3 linked regions of the Cricetulus griseus genome follow. The protein of the gene in region 1 interacts with the protein of each later gene in a pairwise test. Links are inferred from orthologs where the notes say so. Each region holds a gene or a part of one and is shown on either strand. Other genes may lie near its edges. The genes, in order: Nav2, Rbm15 and Ing5.

Region 1 (7,331 bases):
CTGAATTTGAATCTGTGATTCTTGTGCATATGAAGGCTTAGCGGGCCCGGAAGTTCACTGAATACACACTTCACCTGGCTAGAATTCTCAGCTTTAGTATGCATCAAAATTTGTTAAAAACACAGATTACCTACCCCTGACTCCTTACCCTCTGGGAGTGTTCAATAGGATGGGATGGGACAGATGGAGTGTGTCAAATTAATAGGTTTTTCTGTTGTTGCTCTGGGGACCAGACTTTGGACACTCACTGCATCTGAGCTCTGAGGATATTTGGGGATAGTTCCACCATCCTTAACAGTGGATGATGGCAATATCTTCTACAATTCTTCATACAGCTGGGAGAACTAGTGTTCAAGGGGGAATGTAGTATAAGCCCTTTTCATTTTGATATGCTCCTACTAAAAGGCAATCTCACCATGCATTCATTCAGTAACAATCTGGGTAGCTTCAGTCCATAGCATTCTGCTCAGTTCTGACAGAATCTCATGAAGGTCAAAATATGGTTCTTCAAAACATTTATTCCTTTCAAAGAGAGCACATGAAACACTAAATAAATTAAATAAACAAGACACTAGCATAGGAGGCCATTCAGATGGGCAAGGCCAGAGTGCACCGGGTCAGGGACCACTTGTGATTTCATTTCAGAGAGCAGGACTTAGAGCTAACACAGGCTATGTGCATTTCCCTCTAGCTCGGGTAAAAAGTCCCTGCAAACAGAATGGGTGGGGGTGGAGAGTACCATCTCACCTCTCCACTCTCCAAGGGCAGTTTTAAAACTCAACTTTTGCTTTGGTCTGGGGTCTTAGTTGAATCTACTATAGGAAAATGATGTAGACAGTACAGCTTAAATGACAAACATCTATCTCTCCTAGGCCTAGAGGCTGGAGGTCTGAGGCCAGGCTGTAGCCAAGGTCAAATTCTTGTCAGGAGATGTTTCTGAGGATTGGGAAAAGCTGCCATTTCATTATCAGAAAGCAATCATCTGTCTTCATCCCATCTCCTCCTGTAATATGAGCATTGATCCCATTGTGAGGATTCCTTGGTCATGTACTCATTACCTCCCAAAGGCTCCACTCACTGCCTGATACAAGTTGACAATTAGGGTGTTTTCCAGTACTGGGCACATGTATATACTAAGCAAGCAAGCAAGATGTCTACCACCAAGCTACCTCTCCAACCCTTTTTTTACTTTTATTTGGACACAAGAGTCTCATTAAATTGCCCTGAATTTGGGATTCTCCTGCCTCAGCCTCTGCAGCAGCCAAAATTACAGGCTGTCACTACTTTTCCCAGCCATGTTAGAGTTTTGCCAGGGATACAGTCAATAACATTAGGAAGACTGAAAATTAACTCTATGGAAGTTGTAGAACAGGCTGTAGGGTAGGAATACTGGCATATTAATAACTGGCACACCCTGGCATATTAATAACAAAGACACAGCCTTTTCTGGTCCCCTACACTGGCAGACACTATCTCATTTAGCTGGAGCAGTGCTTTTAGGGAAATGTACTCAAACTTGACTGCATGAGACAGCCACAGTTTTAGAAAGACTGAGAGTGGGTAAAGTTCCGAATTTGAATTCAAATACAAACCGTTCTCCAAGTAGGCCTCCTCCACGATCAGCCCAGGACCATCTATCTATTTTCCCTTCAGCTCTCAGATTCTGTGTCGGAGAGGAAGGGATCCTCCAGCGATTCCAAGTGGAGGAACCTGTGGTCTTGGCACGTCCCAGGAGCAGCCAGGCAGGCAGGCCTGTATGAAACGATGCAACCGGGGCAGGTTTGGCCTCAGTCTGCCCAGGTCACCAAGGCACTGTAATTACAGTCTGTGGTAGGTGACGGGAGGAGCTGTCTTGGGCGCGAAGCTTCCCCGGCCATTGTATCAGCCTATAAATACTTCAAATACTTAAGTGCAATGTGCAACCTTTGAATGTCCCAGAGGAAGCTGTTGGGAGGCCCCTGGGGCCGCCCGGAAAGGAGAAATGACTGGAGTGTCCTTCAGGCAGTAGACAAGGAGACCTGCTCAGTCAATCCCGATGGAGGTGCAGGGAGGCTGGGGCGTGCCTCCGGAACCCACAAACCGTTGAGATGACCCAAGCCATTTTGAAAAAGGGAAACCGATTTCCCCTGACAAATGCCGGGCGGGGGTGGGGGGGACGGAGAAAGGCGGGAATCAGTGTTCCAACGGCGTTTGCGGGCGGCTCCGGGGACGCGGGGGTGGCGACCCGCAGGGAGGCGCGCGCCGGGGCCGTGCCGCAGAGCGGCCACCAGCTCGCTTTGTACTTGCGGCCAAGCGCGGCCCCAGAGTTTCGGCGGCGGCCCCGTGAGTTGAGGCCACGCCCCCTTGCAGTGCGAGTCGCGACCGAGGATTGGTCCGCCTCGAACCAATGGGCGCGCGGGAACGGCCCGGGCTGTCAGCGCGCGCCGCAGCCGATCCTCCCCTGCGTCCAGCCCTGCAGCCCGCGCTGCCTTCCCCGGAGCTCAGCTCAGCGCAGCGCTACCAGCCCGGCCAGCTGCGCGACCCGGTGCCCGCGCTCTGCCGCCACCGCCGTGCTCCTCTCGAGCACACGGAACATGGGCAGATCCGCTCAGGTGCTGCGTGTTCCAGGGGCTTATGAGCAGCGGTGATCGGCTGTCACGCCCAGACAAGACCTTTCTAGGGAGATCGCCCGCGTCCGCTTCGGCGCGGATGACACTGCGGCGTGCTGGCAGGGTGACAGCCACCTTGCGGTTGAGACCTCCTGTGCTCCGTGCGCCCTCCGTTTCCCCATCCTCCGTTCATTTACTCCGCTGTTCACACCCGCAGCCTCCGGAGCGCGACGTGTGCGTCCCTAGCCTATGTCTTTTCCTAAGGAGCCTCCACACTTCGGAGACGCGATGACAAGTTAATATGGGCGTCCACGCCTCGGTTTCCCAGGAGAAGAATTGCCAGAGGCGGTAGTCCCTGAGCTTCTGAACAGGCCGCCCGCTGCGACATCCGCACAGGTGGGACCTGCTGAGGGCAGTGACCAGCCCGCCACCCCGCAGGCGCGCTCGCAGGATTTCCCCAGCTCCCCAGCCCGGGGATTTTGTTTTTTTATTTTTTTCCTCCACTGTTGGTGGGCGCCTCGCGGGCCGAAGCCCGGCGCCTGCTCGGCTGCCCGCGCTGCCTTTAGCGGTCGCCTCCGCAGCCGCTGCCAGGGACGTGCTGGGAAAGCCGAAGCCCCGGGAGAAGATGCCGGCCATCCTGGTAGCCTCCAAAATGAAGTCGGGACTGCCCAAACCGGTGCACAGCGCCGCGCCCATCCTGCACGTGCCCCCGGCCCGGACTGGTCCCCAGCCCTGCTACCTTAAGTTGGGAAGCAAGGTGGAGGTGAGCAAGACGGCCTACACTAGCCAGATCCCCCTGAAATCGCAGGGGCTGCAGGAGCCAACGGGGGAGGGGCTCCCGTTGCGGAAAAGCAGCTCTCTGGAGAACGGGTTCGATACCCAGGTGAGCAGTGCTGTGTGCTGGGGTGGTGGTGGGGGCACTGTTGGGGTTGTGGTGGTGATGGGTGATTTTTCCTGGGGGAGAGACACGGATGCCTGGAGAGGCTACTATAATGTACTTGGAGAGAGGAAGCATACCCTTTTAGCTGGCAGATTGGAAGGTGGGTGTGGCCAGAGTGCCAGAGGTTCGCCCAAGGAGCTCCACAAAGCTGAGGGGTGCTGGTAGCCTGCTGTTTCTTTGGGGTTGGAGCAGGTGTAGAGGTGGTATCAAAAAGCGCACGCTGACATTGGAAATGTTAGGACCTGAATGCTGAGTACTTGACCCCAAGGAAGCCGTGTCTGTGCTGGGATGTGTGTCTATGTCAGTGCCTTGGGTTGTAACCCGTTGAAGGAATGGTCTGGTGCCTCTTTGGATTGGATACTACCTGGCCCAGCTATGAGATCCAGGACAAGGGATGCTGGGTGGTTGCTCTGAACCTGCCCTCCTCCTAGCTTGAAGATGGCTTGCTCCTGTCCCTGTCCCATCTTTAGGGAGAAGGGATTCTGACCAGGTGCTGCTGACTGCTAGCTTGCTGGAGCATCTTGCTGTTGCCGTAGGGGTGGCTTGGTTGTCTCAGAATGGCTGCCCAAGCTGAGCCCCTCCTTATGCTGTCAGTGTTGGTGGCTCTGGTGATTAGGGAGATGTTGGTGTGGGTGAGAGAATGCCTGGAAGAGAAACGGTGACTTCTACCTTTCCGGGCAGAGCAGGCACCACCCCCACCCACCCTCCACTGGGCTGGGTGACAGGCCTTGGCCATGCAATCTCTTTTAAGGAAATCCTTAAGGGCCAATCAGTTTCTCTTGGACTTCTGCCTTCCTCCTCTTCTGGCAGGAGGGAGCAGGGGCATGCTGTATTTTCTTGGCTGCCAGTCAGCAGGGACTTTTTAGGGACAGGCCGACCTGACGGATGTGACTGTCCCAGTCAGGAGAGGAGAGGCTTCGGGAAGCCAGAGAGGGAGGCAATTTGGGGTTGGTATGGGAGAAGTAGCCACAGACAAGCTGACCTTTAGAGCACCTACTACTCTGCTCACAGAGACTACCTTCTGTAGCTTTCTCTGATCGGCGGTTAACACTCAACACATTCCTTGCTTTCTGATGGAGGACTGGAGCTAGAAGCTGGTTGGAGACAGACTGTTGGAACTCAGGGCCAGAAAAGGCCCTCCCCACACAGGCTCCCACACCCGGCCCATCATCATGTCCCTCTTGATGCCGCACTTGCTAAACATTTTTGGAAGCTGACAGCTTTGACTGATGGTGTGTGGGAGGGAGGCAAGATTTCCTTCAGTGCTCCTGGGCCCTGGCTCTGCTAGGCTGTGTGCTCTGCTCTTTTTCTTATGGCTACAGGACTTGTCCAGAGGGCTCTAAAGTGAGGGTGAGCACTGGGGTGCCTCCTTCATCTGTGGGGGTGGAGTGGGTGGGATTTTGGAACAGTGACTGAGAATGTGACACATGCCCTGGAGCCTGATGAGGAGGACCCTAGGAATGAACGGAAAGGCAGATGTTGGCTCATTCAAAGCCAGACTGCTGCCTGCTATTGCCCATTTGACCCTTCATTTAACAAACATTGGCAGAGGATTGCGGTGGGCAGGCTCTGGGAAGGTGATTCACCATTTAAAAAAATTACTCCTAGATTTCTCCATGAGGGGCTAATTTGGCGCTATTCCCTGGAGGCCCTGCCCGCACCACCCCACATTTCATCCCTCTTACTCTCCATGGGTCCTCTGCATCATGAGGGTGATTTGGATAGATGGCCCAGGAAACTGGCCACCTTCCAACAAACAGTCCTGCTTCCCCCCTTGCCAGCCCCTGGGTCTCCTAGGGGCTCTTCTATGTAACAGGCACTCATAGCCCCACCCTGACATCAAAGGGGCTTTGGCAAAAGGATTTCACCATCTTTGAACAGGGTATCCCCATGGTGACAGACATTGCTCATTCACCTTCCAGAAAAGTCCCTCGATTATGGCTTGAGGACCTTGACTGACTTGGCACCTGGTAATTTCCTGGTCCCAAACTTAATGTTTATCATTAGAAGACACTCAGGAAATGATAAACTCAGTGACAAATGATATCTTGGAGCCGTTGGTTGGGGGATTTTTGGCAGAAGACTGGCTTGGTTGTTTAGTGACTAACAGCACAGGTTTTAAAGCATTGGCTATCAGTGCTGCCTTCTATCTAACATGACATGCTGGCCAAGTGGCCCAGTCCTTTAACTACTCCCCTGGGCCTCAGTGCTTTCATTTGTAAAAATGGGTACAAGCAGCCACAGGAATTGTGAGTATTAAGAAAAATTTTGTATTCCAAACTGTTCACAAGTGTTTACAGGCCTCTGGCTCTGCCTGGCACAGTTCCAGGCTCTGTGGGAGGATGGGGGGAGGGGGAGGGATTGACCTGTGGAATGCCTGATGTGTGTTAGGCTCTTTCCATAGGATCTCACTGGTCTTCACAGGAACACTTAGAGTAGGTGTGGTGCTTTGGCCATGTCCTAAGATATCAAGAAAGTAAAGAAGGCACCCTTGCCTTGTACTTCCTAGGTGCCAGGAATTGTTCTGAATTGTTTTGAATACAAAACTCCTTATGCACTGGGCATTGGTGGCTCATGCCTTTAATCCCAGCACTCGGGAGGCAGAGGCAGGCGGATGTCTGTGAGTTCGAGGCCAGCCTGGTCTCCAGAGTGAGTGCCAGGATAGGCTCCAAAGCTACACGGAGAAACCCTGTCTCGAAAAAAAAAAAAAAAAAAAAAAAAACCCTCTTATTCGATAAGGATAATCATCCCATTTTATACATATGATAAATCAAGGTTAAATGGTCTCGGGAGCAGCAGAGTTAGTAGCATTAGAACTCAAGCCCCTTAACTGTGTTGCTGGACAGGGAGAGCCACAGCAGCTGCTGGCCAATTATAGACCTTGAGTTATCAGACCATAGATGGCACCACTGACCCATATTGTCCAGTGTGGCAGAACGGGAATCCCAGCTCAGGTGCTTGTCCAGTGACATGCCCACTGTCCATCACCACTGGTGCTGTGGCAGAGCTGAGGACAAATAAGGCCTGGTCTTGGGAATGATATATCCCAGGTAGAAGGCATGACTTCTGCATCCAGCAGAGGGCAACACTGGGAGAGCTAGAAATGTATTGAGGCTGAGGAGTCAAGATGCTGGAAGTAAGACTAGTACCTCAAGGGCTGGAAAGGACCATGGGGGCTCACAGGGGAGGCAGGCAGGAGATGAGCTGGGCCTCAGGTGTGGGCAGGAGTGCCTAGTGGGGAGGAGAGAGGGAGGCCAATGAGAACAAAGGTTAAGCTGCCCTGCAGTGGTGCAGACCCCAAGTGGATGCTCTTCTGTGCGTGTTCTAGATTGGGTGCTTTCCATTTCACGTCAGGGTATGAGGAAGAGCAGAGGCTCAGCTGTCACAGTACTGGATGCTCGTGCTGGCTTCTAGTGGACAGTAACTGCATATAGGCCAGTGGCAAGAAAATGGGGAGATGGTGTCTGCTACAGAACCTGGCTCTTAGGAAGAACAACAATGAGTGCTGTTAGCTTGGGTTTCAGAGTGTTTGACATGGTCATTATAGGACAAAACTTTGCTGTTTTCTTTTTTGATTACTGGGTCTTTCACTCACTATGTAGATCAGGCTAGCCTTGAACTCGAAGAGATCCACCTACCCCTGCCTCTCAAGTGCTGGGATTAAAGGTTTTTGCCACCACACCCGGCTTCATTCCTATTTTCTTACCTAGTAATTCCATTTACTTCATGAGTTTTCACTCATCTTCCCCACCCCATGCATGAGCTCCTTGCAAGTCAATAGCTATTAGAGGCCAGCCACTGTT
Region 2 (7,274 bases), on another chromosome or scaffold:
TTCTGGGAATAAGAAAAATACTCAAATACCTGATTAAAATAATTGAACTTTGGAATACCTGATTAATGCTTCTAGTATAGAAACTATCTATGCACCAATCACACTATTTTTTCAGTACAAAAGGCTCTTTCCTCCAAATTATGATTCTAAAAGTTGTAGGTTTTATCATTTTGAGGATTTTTTTTTAAACTCAAGAGACTGAAAAAAAAAATACCAGAAGAAAAAGAAAAGTAATTCCTAATTAAAGCAAATCCATCCTCTTGCTACCTTCAGGGCATCCCTTTCACTTAAAATAATAGCTAAATCGCCCCAATATCTATTTTAAGGAGGTTTACAAAAATATATATATAAAAAAACCAACTAAACTAATTGAAAGAAATTTATCTGATGCTGTATCCCATTACATATCACAAAACAAGGAACCATGTCAAAATAGTAAATACAAGTTACACATGGACTTTAGGACGCACCACGAACAATGATCATGACCAGGTAATCTTCTTCAGATTTGGCCAGTGCCTTGGCAGGGGAATCCAGGAACTGCTGAGAGAACTCACAAGGTGGGAAGGCATGAAGAACCCCTGTGTTCTCCTTGTCTTTGTTGCCCCCCACAGGGAGGCTGATCACCCCAGCTGCCTGCTTTTGCTTTAAATAGGACACAAGGTTCCTAAGTGGCCTCTGTGTAGAGGTGGCAGTGTCTGATGTAGCTGACGAAGAGGAGGATCGGCTGTCAGAACTTCCAGGTACAGCCAGAAGTATGGCATAACCATTGGGCCCTGCCACTTTGATGCGACGAGTTACTTCATCCAACTTGGGCTGGTCCAAACGGAGACGCTGAGTGATCTTGAGCTGGGCTACTTTGCCTCCAGTTGAACCCTCCACAAGTAGACTGCTAGCAACTTGGAGGTCACCCTGCAATAGATGCATGTTGGAAGGGAAGTTGCTGTTCTTCAGTAGAAGCATGCCCTGCCAAGCCAAACAGAGTTTGGGAGAGGATGCTGCCACAGGAGCTGTCCCTCCATCCTGTTTCTGGGAAGGAGCTTTCTGCTTTGATGATGACGCGCTGGCACTGGGTGCATTGCCATCAGAACGTTCTTCCTTTTTCAGAGGGTTTTTTCCCTCTGTGGGAGCAGCTGTCCGGTGCTTCCTATCCCGTTCAGCTGATGCAGAGTTTTTACGGTCTCGCTTGTCACTCTGGCTCTTCTCCAAACTGCCCCGTCTATCTCTGATTGGAGAGGGCCTTTCCAAAAGAAGACGAGAAGATCGATCGTTGTCACTGTTGTAGCGATCTCTGTTACTGCTCAGTTCTGGACTTCGGTCAGGAGAAGGAGTGCAATGACGTTTTCGTGGCCGGTCACTCTCAGGTGATCTATCCAGATGCCGTCCTCCACTTTCTTCAGGCAGCCTTCTCTTCCTTGGCTGGTCCCTGCTGCTAGGCAAATCCCGATCACCTCTGTCCCTGTCCAATGACCAGCCATCCCTCCTTCGATCCAAGCTATCCAGTGGCTCATAAGCAGTCACAGCACTAGCTGCAGCACGAGCACTGCGTTCTCGAACTGGTGGTGGGGGTGGCACCCAATCAGAATCAGTATAAAGGTCCCGATCACGATCTCTGTATAGTAAGGGTGGCGTCCTATCCCGAGCACTCCTCAAAGGGTCAGGCGCTCGATGCCCAAAAGTATCTGTCACTAGTTCATAATGAGTCAAGGGCAGAGGCTGAAGATACTGCTGCTGGTAACGATGCTCTGTGTCTGCAAAGTCTACTCTAAGGCGACGATCTGGGCCACCGAGTGGGAATCCACGCATATGGGTCCAGGCAGCATGAGCTGCATCCAAGCTTTCATACTGTATATATGCCCAACTATCACCTTTTCGGTAGTCAATGGTTCGTATGGTGCCAAATCGATCAAATTCTCGTGCCAGGGCAGCAAGAGGCACCCAAGGTCCCAGGCCACCCACCCAAAGTCGGGTGGTGGGTGTGGCTTTACCATAACCAATCTTGATTGGATTCCGAATTATAATTTTGCCAGACATTGCTAGTTTGGCCCTGTGAGACATGTCTAGGTTCTCAAATTTGAGAAAACCATAGGTACTGGTCTGTCCACGAGAAGGCCTCTTAATGTCCACTTCTGTGATGACTCCGAAACGATCAAAAGCCCTTCTTAGATCATTTTCTGTCACAGTGATGTCTAAGTTGCCCAAGAAAAGTGTCCGGTTAGCACGCTGATCATCCTCGGGCGAGATCTCATCCACTTCTCGGAAAGGAGCAGCACCTGCTCCAGCTCCCACCCTTGGCTCAAGACTATAAGCTGGGCGCACTCGGTCATAGAACGGGTAGTCTCGTTCTCTTTCCAGCTCTCGGGGCAATGGTGGTGGGGGTGGAGGCGGCAGGCGGCCAAGAGCCAACTGCTGCAACCGGTAGTCTCTGTATCCCAAAGCAGCACCGCCAGGGGAAAGTGATCTCTGACCTCCACCTCCTCCAGGGGCGTGCCTGTGGCTACCGACAGAGGTTCCGACCACGCTGGACGACGGAGGGTAAGTATCTTTGTCTAACGGGGAGCGGCTGCGGCGCCGGCTCACGTACACGGCTTCTATCTTCAGAGGCCGGTCATAGAGCACCAGGCGGCCTCTGGCATGCTTGGCCGCCCTCGCGTCCTCTGGCCTCCGGAAGTTCACAAAGGCTACCCGCTCATCCCCGCTGCCAGAACCCGAGAGGTGACTGATCTTGACACTTACATCACCGAAGCGTTTGAACTCGTGAAACAGGCCGTCCTCCACCGCCTCGTCGCTCAGCTGGGACCCCAACTCGCTTATCTTCAGGGTCTTGTACTCCACTCCGTCCCCGCCGCCAGGCGCTGAGGAGGCGGCCCCAGAGGAACGTGACTCCCCGCCTCCACCCCGGGAGCTGCTGCGCGACTCGCCCCCGCCTGAGGAATTTTTGGTGCTCGGGGAGCTGTAACTATGCAGGCGGCTGCTGGAGCTGCCCCCACCGGTGTCATACTCGCGGCTGCCACCTCGGCTGCTGGACTTATCCAGGTGAAGGCTCCGCCGCGACCCGCCGCTGTCCGTCTTCCCGCTGCTGCTCCCATTGCTGCCGCCAGAGCCCCCTAACTTCTTGCTCCGCTCCCCACGAGAACTGGAGTCCTCACCGCCGCGGGAGCGTTTGGGCTTCACCGGCGAGCGCTCCTTTCCTTTCATTGTTGAGGGTCGCCGGAGGTCGTCTCTGCGGAGCTGACTAACCCGCCACCCCGCGCTCGTTTCACACAGCGGACTCGCACGCCGCCATCTTGGACTCCGCCGCGGCAAAGGCTCCCGCCCCGCAGACCTCATTGGTCAATTAATTCACTCTTCAGCCTTCTCATTGGAAAAACTATTTGTCCGTCTTTACATCTCCCCGCGCTCCGGGAAGGCGCCCGCCTCGACGCTGTTATTGGGTTCCCAACGCCCTAATCCGCGTACCTCATTGGTTATATTCGTTGTCTATCTTAACGGTTCCTCGCGCCAGCCGTAGCTCCGCCCCTCGCACTTCACGGTCACCTGACCCGAAGCCTCGAGTCGTTGATTGGACAAAAAGTCTGCCCTGTAACGGTACTTCTAGCACGGCGAAAGCAGTGGTCCCACCTCCTCTTTCCTCTCATTGGTCCGTGGCCACGTCCTTTAAACCACTCCTTGGGAAGTACGGACTTCGGTTCTGGCGTTTTTTTCTGAAAACTTGGCTCTCCCGATCTCGCGAGACACAAAGAGCTCGCTCGCCCGCTCGCTCCCTTTCGACCCCAGTCTTCCAACTTCTCCGGCGGCCGGAGGAAGTTTAAATCTGATTGGACGTTGGCGAGGAAGCTGATAGGGTAACAGCGCTGTCCATCACTTACTTAAAGGAGTAGGCCCACAAACCGAGGCGTCTGAAGGTGAAAGACTAGAACACGCGCTTGCCGTGCGACGTCACTTAGCTGTCGCGAGACGGTGACAGCGAGTCGGGCCCGCCTCCCCGCGCTTTCGGCGTTCTCTTAAACATTTGTTAGGTCCTACGGCGTACTTGGCTGTGCTTCGGTCCTTCGAGTCTGGAACCCGCAGGCTCCGCACGGTCGGTGCTGTCTGGGCCGGACAGTGGGCCGGGTGGTCCCTCCGGCTGCTGGCCCTCGATCCCCTTAGGCAGCTGTCCCGGGAAGTCCAGCCGACACCATCTTAGTTAGCAGCCTGGAAAAGCCCCACCCCCGTGCGCGAGAAAGCGCCTGCCCGGGTCTGTGCAGCTGGCCGGGGCGGCGAGTTCAGGGTTCACTGAGCCTCGGGTCACGCTGACGCCCTGGGCGGTACCGAGTCTCTGCCCGCCCACCCGCGGACATAGGAAACGGCGCCCCGGAGACGTGGCCGCCCCAGGGCTCGCGGTGACCTGTGTTCACAGCCTCCAGGCCTACTGGTCCGACCTGCGGGCCACTGCAGACCTTCCCTGGCGCCTGTTTTAGGTTGTGAATCCCTGTAGGGTTTGCATTTGTAAAAGCCATGGAACGTGATATCGCTGTGCTTACCTTTAATATGTAACGCTTCTCGCTGTGCGGACACTTGACACTTTCTCTGGTTTCTTGTGCCGCAGCACTCCCGATTAATTCCTACTAGGATCCAGGAACACGGGCACTTTGCTACCTCCCTAGGCCCACCTCTTTAAGTCTTTTAATCATGATCCACTTCTCAACTCCCGGTACACCATCCAGGTACCTTTATTGTGTGTTGGGTAAATTTGTGCAATACTGTTGGATCATGAGACTAGACGGGTAGTCTGTTGCACTGGCATTTGCCTTCTGGTGAAGAGAAATAGGCTTCCTGCAGTCTCCCCAAGAACATTCCGGCCAAAATTTCTTGATCACATCAAAGGGATTTGAAAGAAGAAGCCCAATCAATATGTTAACTATAAACCTCCAAATACTGTAATGCACAGATATACTTGTATTAAAAATAACTCTTGTGGGGCATTGTGGAATAGCTGTAATCCCAGCTCATTAGCCTGAAAACCTCAAAACCACTCACACACAAAAGAAGTCTGGAGACTTGGGCACCATGTATGAAGCTCTAGATTCAAGCCCCAGTACTTGGGGGAAAAAATGGGTTTTAAAGTCTTATTTTTTTCCAGGCAAGGTGGCTCATACCTTTAACCCCAGCACTCAGGAGGTAGAGGCAGATGGATGGGTCTCTCTGTTGAAGGCCACCTTATCTACAAAGCGAGTTCCAGCTAGGGCTGTTACACAGAGAAACCCTCCCTTCTCAGAAAAACAGAAAAAAAACAAAATGACAACAACAAAAGACTATTTTTTTTAGCAGGACATGATGTACTCATTTAATCCCAGCACTTGAAAGGCAGGCACAGGAAGATGTCTGTGAGTTCAAGGCCAGTTTAGTCTACATAGTGAGTTCTAGATCAACTAGGACTATATATTGAGACCACACACGTGCGTGCTTGTATGTATGTGTGTGTTTGCATGTATGCTAGTATTCTGGTGTCCAGAGAAGCGAAAAGAGAGTGACAGATCCCCGGAAGATCCCAGAATTGTGAGTCAACCTGAGCCCTGGGGAACAAACTGCAAGTAATTTTAAAACAGCAAGTAATTTTAACCCCTGGGCCATCTCTCCAGGCCGGCAAAAATAATTTTTTAAAAGGCTGTTAACATAAAATACCACCAGTCAGAGAAAAATGTGTATGATAAACTACCAATTGTGTTTTTTAACATTGTATGTGTATCATATACATATGCTTGTATTTTTTTTTCTTTTTGGTTTTTCCAGACAGGGTTTCTCTGTGTAGCTTTGGAGCCTATCCTGGCGCACTTGCTCTGGAGACCAGGCTGGCCTCGAACTCACAGAGATCCACCTGCCTCTGCCTCTCGAGTGCTGGGAATTAAAGGCGTGCGCCACCAATGCCCGGCTATATGCTTGTATTTTTAATTGATAGTTACAGAGATTGCTCTCAGAGACAGAGCTGAGGATCTGGAATTAGCAAGGGACTTTTGATATTATAAATGAAAATTTTCCTTGTATAATTTTGGTTTAAAAATATACAGTAGTGTTAGATCCCCGGAAAACTCAGGTATCCGGGGCTTCGGTCACCCCAATCACCAGGCAGATCCGAGAGCATGCTGCAAACTGCATGAGGCTTTATTGTAATTTAATGAGCTAACCCCATGTTAGCTGGGGTCTTTTACCCACCCGCCATGGCGGATGGCTAGAAAAAGACAGCTCGGCTTGCCCTGTGTTGATTGGTCAACTGGTTGTTATGGCCCATAGGCCCTCCCAGGGTGGTTGCTATGCTTTGTGGGTCATTGCTGTGCACTTGTCCGTAAAGCACACACGCAGGGTCGTAAAGCATAGCGCCACCAGCTAACTTCTGATTGATTCCTTGTCACAAGGAAGGCATCTGACCTCTAAGTGACCAAGGCAAGTTATGGCAAGCATATATTCGGCTGTTATGGCTGCCGAAAGGGAAGCTAGTCCCTTCAGTAGTAGAATATATTTTGAAGACCATCCTATCTGCTGAGCACACAGTCTCAACAATTGTAAGATCATGTCAATCGTTTTCTTTAAATCTACAATCCTATTCCTATTCTTCCCTGCTCCATTATTTTGTTCCATGCATACTTGATACAGTTTCTGCCTCAGATGTAGAATCCATCATTCCTACATAATGAAAAAGCTTTTCAGAGGTGTGCTAATCTATCTCAAGATTATATGCATACTACAAAAAGGGAATTGAAGTTAAGCCTTTGCCTGATTACTGTAATAGCCAATCCAGAAAAACTGAGAAGTGACTTTTTTTTTTTTGGCTTTTTTTTTTTTTTTTTTGAGACAGGGTTTCTCTGTGGCTTTGGAGGCTGTCCTGGAACTAGCTCTTGTAGACAAGGCTGGTCTCGAACTCACAGAGATCCGCCTGCCTCTGCCTCCCAAATGCTGGGATTAAAGGCATGTGCCACATTGCCTAGGGAGAAGTGACTATTTTTAGCCTACATTGATTAACATAAATGACTCACTGATCCAAAGGAAAGATAAGGACCAATCAGTGTAGGAGTTTTAAGAGCACTAGAACTAAGAAAAAAAAAAACTGAAGGAGATGAAAAGGGACAATATGTGTGATGGTGCTTGAAGCATGCCAGGATTAGTGGGTTGTCGTTTGGTAGAACTTTTCCACATCTGACAATGGTAAGAAGGCTTCCTAAGGAAACCCGTAGCCTTTCTGGACCAAAAAGACTGGTAAGTTTAAAGTTAACAGCCATCACCAGCAAGAGTCAAAATAT
Region 3 (6,524 bases), on another chromosome or scaffold:
AAGGTCAATGTTCAGTTCCTTGGCCGCCCCAGGGCCTGGTTTTCTGGCAAGCCAAGACCTGCCTGTCTGTGGGAACAAAGGGGTCAGTTTCTTCTGCATGCAGTTCCTTATCCCAAAGCTTGGATAAGCAGCTAGGTCCCAGCTGGGCTACCTGGGTTGTTAGGGAAGCTCACGGTGCTGTCTGGAGAGAGTTTCCTGGCCACATCTGGGGAGGGGAGCTTGCCTAGCCAAGGGCCAGGGACTGCCTGTGGGGTACTAGATACTAGGTAGTCTTCTCAGCTGCTTCTGCTCTTTCCTATGTTTTGTTTTCTGTTTCAGAGACAGGGTCCTAGTATGTACAAGCTGGCCCTGGACTTCCTTTATAGTTGGGGATATAAAGGCCTTGAACTCAGGCTCCTCCTTCCTCAGCTTTCCAAGGGCTGCATTAAAGACGGGTATCCCCACACCTGACTGACTGAACCTGCAGTCTTAAGCTTCAGGTCACATGTCAGCTGAATGGCTGTGGCTCCCTATGATAGCTGGATGGTGGATCTTCCTGTGGGGAAGGTCCGTGTACCTGGTAGAATTGAGCAGCAGAGGCAGGCACACTTCTGGGCTTGGCTTGCTGCCTCAGAGGGGCTGCATGGTGTCCATGGACAGTAGGCCACACAGAGACCACGGAGGCCAGGAGTCGAGGTAGAGTGTCCCGGGTCTAAGTTTCCCACTTGAAGGACCTCTTGGGGGTCGCTTGAAAGCCATATTATAGAGTGCTTGGACTCAGACGTGTTTTTGTGGCATTTCTGTGAAGGCATGGGTTACCTGCTGAGGAGAGGCCCCAGTTGCAGAGCCTCCTAGGTGCTGGGCTAGGATGTAGATATACTGTATGACCTGGGACACGCAGGAATTCAGAGGCTAGGAGCCAGGCTTCTGTGTCTTGCTTCCTGTCTACAGCTGTGTCATGCTTTGTATTCGCCATAACCCTCATGGAAATGGCCATATTTATTTGTCACTATACATGCCTAGTTCAGGGGTGAGCATGGATAGTGGTAGTACAGATGTAGGGATTATACTGCCCAGACTGCCCTACAGTGTACACGGAAAAATACATGTAAAGAATAAGTTAAGTTTTCTGCTCTACAGTAAAGGGTGGGGCAGTGCTGTGCTGGCAGCAGTTACGGGGGAAGGTGAAGGAGTAGGATTCTTGCCAGGCTGCTGTTCAGAGCCCAGGGGCAGCTTCGGGCACTGGGGAGTGAGCAGGGTAGTGTGTACCAAGCTGGCTCTTGTTAGCCTGCTGGGCAGCTGGGTGAGGTTGATGGGTGGATACTTGGAACTCACAGAAGGCTAGGAGGGGCTGCCAGTGTGTGGTTTGGGGTAGGTGCCGAGGATGCACTGACCCTTGTCAGGGGAGGAGGGCTGTCAGTCCATTGGCTCCATCAGAGCTGGTGAGTGCCTCCACCCTTAGGTCAGCCTAGGGTAAGACACAGATGATTCCTCAGATATTAGCTATCTGCCGGCGGGGGTGGGGTAGGGCTGTTCTTGTCCCTCAGGAGGTGGCAGCTGACACACAAGGGAAGTCCAGGGAAAGCAGCAGCCTTGTTCTGTGGGAGGGGTCTTTGTCCCCAGTAGACAGCAATGGCTGGTGTTGGATTTAGTTGCTAGTGAGTGCTGTTAGCAATTCCAGACCCCACTGCCTGCCTCTGGAGCCTTTGCTGATATGAGGGTAGTGTGATTTCTGTTTGCTGTTTGCTGCTGCCCCTAGGTTTGTGGCTGGTATTAGTTCAAGGGACTCTATTCAACTGATAATGAGCACGCCATATCGTCCTCACTATAAATTCTCAGGAGAGATTTGGCTGGAAGGTTTTGAGGTTATCCTTGCGGATGAATCCCAGTGATGGGTGTTAGGACTGTTCCCGGGCCCCAGTAACAAGAAAAGTGGAAGCAAGTTTATGGGTGATCATTAATCCAGAGACATTGTAGATTGCTTCCTTAGAGGAGCCTGCACGCATCTTTGGTTCCAGGGTAGAGGCGCCCTGGCCATTGGTGGGAGGGCTGCAGTGTGGCCTCACGAGTCTGCTGCCTTCCCTCTGGTGCCCTGTTGTCAGCAGAGCCTTTCTCTCTTCAGGTCTGAGTTTACTGACAGCATCCTCTCTGTGCACCCCTCTGACGTGCTGGACATGCCTGTGGATCCGAATGAGCCTACATACTGCCTGTGCCACCAGGTGTCCTACGGGGAGATGATTGGCTGTGACAATCCAGACGTGAGTGGATCTCAAAGGATAATGGGACACACCTTGTAGATCCGGGCAGGTGGGAGGCTCTCTGTGTCTAACAAACAGAGTGCACGGGTGTGACCAGACTTTCCCCCTTGCTTTGCAGTGTCCAATTGAGTGGTTTCACTTTGCCTGCGTGGATCTCACCACAAAGCCCAAAGGAAAGTGGTTAGTATGGGGGTGACTGCAGCCTTGGGCAAGCCTGTCTGGTGCTCTGGGTCTTGTTGTATGTCTCCATACTTCTTCAGCATTGGTCCTGTCTGGGGAGGGGTGGCGGTGGCGGCAGCAAATTTACAGAGAGAGAGAGAGAGAGAGAGAGAGAGAGAGAGAGAGAGAGAGATCGATCTACTGCTCAGCTTACCTGGGTGTATATAGTATTTACACTACAGCCCTTTAAAGAAGGGTTCCCTCCATACCTCCACCCCAGTGTGTGTCCAGTGTGCCAGGCCAGAACTCTATCACTGAACTTGTCCCCTTCACCCTCGGGCTCATGTTGGGTAGAGGTTATTTTAAGTGAAGACGAGGAGAGGAAGTGCTCATCTCCAGGGAAAAATTATGAAGAACACGCGAAGTACCTGTAGAATGGGTGTTTTCCCTCCCAGGGGTCTCCATCTACCACAGCATAGGCTTATGCATTCTTTTTCCATCCTGCATGCGGTCAGCAGGAGGCTACTTACTATTCAAGATGTTCCCAAGGTTTTATTTGAATAAAAACCTGGTTTTGTTGACTTGTGTTAAGAATGGATGCATGTTCTTAAAATGAAATAGTAGGAACTGGGCCTTCCTCGCAGGAACACTTGGAGCATCTCATGGTAACATCAGCCTGTAGCCAGTTTGAGAGTCACCTGGGAAAGGAGGGGTGGATGCTGTGTTGCAAGGACTTTGGTCAGTACGCTTATGATGTGTGTGGTGTGAATGTAATCCCACCTTAGTGGGCATACCTACTGTGCATGGCTCCTTGTTTTATATCTCAGGGCGGTGATGGCGCACACCTTTCACCCCAGCACTCAGGAGGCAGAGGCAGGTGGATCTCTGTGAGTTAGAGGCCAGCCTGGTCTAAAAGTGAGTTCCAGGACAGGCTCTAAAGCTACACAGAAATACCCTGTCTTGAAAAGCCAAAATAAAATAAAATAAAATAAAATAAAAGAACCATATGGCAGGTGCCATGGCTGTGCCTATGCCTTGTGGAAGTGGGCTGGGCTGCGCTGGCAGTGGGCATGTGAGAGCAGGTGTGTGGCTGGGCTGCTGATGGATGGTGATTACTTGGATGAGGAAAGGGAAAAGAGTAGGCTCATGAGGCAGCAGGATCTACCTTTGAGTTCAAGTTGGACATGGGGCATCGTTTGCAGGATCCCCAGGTAGGGAGTGGGACAGCACTGGCAAAACTGTTGGGATGTGACATCAACCTTAGAGCTAGGCCCAGGGCTAGACACAAGAACTGGGGAGTGGGGTTCCAGTTTGTGTCTCTGTAGGTTACCAGCATGGGCTTCCTCAGAGGGACAGGGAGGTCTAACTGACATGGTCACTGTAGCACAGGTGGGAAGTAATGTCAGCCATAATGTGTGTCAAAGAACCGTCTCCCACATGGGACCTTACTAGATTGTCCCTTTGGATCATGAGTGGCTGACATGTTCTTGAGTGTCCATGAACACTGCCTGAGGCTCTGATGTGTGCTTGACCTGCAGCACTCGGACCTGTGGGACCTATACAGGCTCCAAGGCCCAGTGCAGCTGTCTCAGGCTGTGTCTACACAGAGTCCTCAGCATGTTCAGTCCACCAGCCCTTGGTGTCCCATTCATGGTGGGCACCTCAATCTCTGACCAGCCTTACCTTCTTGATCACAAGGCTGTGCTGGGCTGTTACCAGTCAACTTCAGCCATGGACAAGTTAGTGCCTCCAATGCCGGCTCTCCTCAGAAAGATGGCACCTCCCACTTGCTGTCGCTCGCTGTCCTCTGGCTTCCCTGGGGGATGTAGGAAGTCTATACTTGGGTGTCCTGTGTGCCAGGAGAAACGATGCAGAAGGTTGACCCCGTGTCTGTCTTGTCACAGGTTCTGTCCACGATGTGTTCAGGAGAAGAGGAAGAAGAAGTAGAGCAGAGGCTGTTGTGCCAGACTGAAGAGCAAGCTAATATATTTCTTCACTCATGTTGCAATATTATCTTTCATTTTAAAACTACCTTATTTCAACTGATATTTAAAAATCCAGTGGCCAGTTGTCATTTTGGATATTTCCCAAAATAAGAAGCCACTGCACCATTTGCACAGAACAATCTCACAGGGACTTGCCACGGTGACTTTACATGCAGGCTCCCCTCTCCTGCAACCTCCCAGCACTGGGAAAGGCAACACCACCTGTGGTGAGTGTCACTTGGGGCTGTAGGCCAAGTGCGTGGTGCAGGGTGAACACGTTTTAACCTGGTGTACTGCCACTGTTTTGTGACTTGAGGGTCAGCCTTGAGTGTCCATGTTTTCCAGGACTGTCTTGTGGCCTCATGGAAGCACAGCTGTTGCTCTGTGAGCAAAATGTTATCAGGCGCTGTCCCATGTTATGCTCTGACCCTGACCGAAGCCCAGGGACTCCTGGCCAACATACCTCTGATGTGTCTGGAAAGGACTGGCAGCTCTTCCCAGGTGGAAGTGCTCTCTGATTATGCCCAGCCTTTTCAGTGTGAACTTCCAGCCCTCCCTGGAGAGTCAGCTTCCATTAGCCTTGGACTGTCCCTTATCACAACCAGCACCGCCCAACAGCGGACAAACAGCCAGGCTGAGCTTCCACCTCTCTGGGAATTCCTGACTTTTTTTTTTACTGTGAAGATGAAATTATTGTAATAGCATGAAGGTCATGGGTCTGTGTGTCTCCGACGTGAGTCTGTCTGCTGTGAGCTGATTTTAGAACTCTGCTGTGTTGCATCCCACTAGACCAGGAAGCCTACATTCAGGGGGATTACAATTACGTGACATGATTTGTGAATTTGTGTGCCCAATAGCAGTTCTAGAATGAAGGTAGGAAACTAGAGTTATTCTTTGTTTAGCCAGTGTTCACAAAACCAGTGTTGAACTGTCTTTTGGAAATATTTGGGGGGCGGGGACATATACACAGGGCCTGTTGAGGTGTACCTGTGGTGGCTCCTTAAGTGTGACAGGGTCATGAGGGTTTCCTTTGACTTTGGTATGTTTCCCAGTGTCTCAGGCTCTCTGAGAACTAAGAAGGCCTGTCCTTGGCCTCACGCCAGAAAACGACCCACAAAACAGAGCTGGGTTACACAATTTCCAATTTAAGGAGACGCCAGTTTTTTATCTGAAGACAGGCACATTATTTTAAGGTGGTCATGTCTAAGTAGATAGGTTTCCCTCCCACTTTATCCAAGGAAAGGAAACAAAACAGAGGAAGTTGTATCTGCTCCACATCATGCCATCACGGTCATGTTCCTACTGGACAGGGTGTCCTCCACAGCCTGTCCCAGCAAGAGAGAGAGAGAGACAGGAATGGCTTGTGTTCGTGCTACTGAGTAAGTTGGTCCATGTTGACCTTTCCTGGGCAGCAGGTGCTAAGCAACAGTGTAAGCTTGTCTCCAGACTAGGAGGAGCTTTGGAAATGCGGTTCCTGTGGTCTCTGGGTTTGAGGGGCTGGCTTTCTTCTTTAGGACCACCTCTCAGGCTTAGATGTGATAGACATTTTCATTTTTTGGTTTTGTTTTGTTTTGTTTGGTTTTTGATTTTTGGAGACAGGGTTTCTCTCCTGGAACTAGTTCTGTAGACTAGGCTGGCCTTGAACTCAGAGATTTGTCTGCCTCTGCCTCCTGAGTGCTGGAATTAAAGGTATACGCTACCACCATCAGCTAGACATTTTCATTTCTTAGCCTTTTGTTGTTCTAAAGCTTTGTGAGGATAAGTTACAGGTGGTTTTTTTTGTTGTTTTGTTTTTCCCTTTTCCCTTTTTATTTTAAAGACCAGGTCTTATGTATCCTAGGCTTGCTTTGAGCTCACAGTGTAGCTGAAGATAACTTTGATCTTTTGATCGTCCTTCCTGCATCTCCCAAATGCTAAGGTTACAGATGTGCACTAACAGGTCTGGCTTTGCAATGTTAGGGACCAAACCCAGAACTTTTTTTTTTTTTTCTTTTTTTGCTTTTTTGAGACAGGGTTTCTCTGTATAGTCCTGGCTGCCCTAGAGCTCACTCTGTAGTCCAGGCTGGCCTTGAACTCACAGAGATCTGCATGTCTCTACCTCCCGAGTGCTTTTTTTCCCCTTCAGTCCTAGGGGTCAGGCCTC

The links.
Region 2: the proteins of Nav2 (region 1) and Rbm15 interact in binary tests that used the Homo sapiens proteins (3 or more experiments, as listed by UniProt). The two-hybrid records come from large-scale screens. The link is inferred for Cricetulus griseus from reciprocal best matches to the Homo sapiens genes NAV2 and RBM15.
Region 3: the proteins of Nav2 (region 1) and Ing5 interact in binary tests that used the Homo sapiens proteins (3 or more experiments, as listed by UniProt). The two-hybrid records come from large-scale screens. The link is inferred for Cricetulus griseus from reciprocal best matches to the Homo sapiens genes NAV2 and ING5.

What each region holds. Positions count from the first base shown.
Region 1 is NC_048596.1:146,269,358-146,276,688, forward strand, and holds the start of Nav2 (neuron navigator 2), read left to right. Parts: upstream 1-2,473; 5' UTR 2,474-3,213; coding exon 3,214-3,471; intron 3,472-4,946; exon of another isoform or gene 4,947-5,777; intron 5,778-7,331. UniProt on the Homo sapiens protein: Possesses 3' to 5' helicase activity and exonuclease activity. Involved in neuronal development, specifically in the development of different sensory organs.
Region 2 is NW_023276806.1:49,810,808-49,818,081, reverse strand, and holds the start of Rbm15 (RNA-binding protein 15), read right to left. Parts: upstream 4,240-7,274; 5' UTR 3,331-4,239; coding exon 471-3,330; intron 1-470. UniProt on the Homo sapiens protein: RNA-binding protein that acts as a key regulator of N6-methyladenosine (m6A) methylation of RNAs, thereby regulating different processes, such as hematopoietic cell homeostasis, alternative splicing of mRNAs and X chromosome inactivation mediated by Xist RNA.
Region 3 is NC_048595.1:445,246,125-445,252,648, forward strand, and holds part of Ing5 (inhibitor of growth protein 5), read left to right. Parts: intron 1-2,101; coding exon 2,102-2,237; intron 2,238-2,355; coding exon 2,356-2,417; intron 2,418-4,300; coding exon 4,301-4,343; 3' UTR 4,344-6,524. UniProt on the Homo sapiens protein: Component of the HBO1 complex, which specifically mediates acetylation of histone H3 at 'Lys-14' (H3K14ac) and, to a lower extent, acetylation of histone H4. Component of the MOZ/MORF complex which has a histone H3 acetyltransferase activity.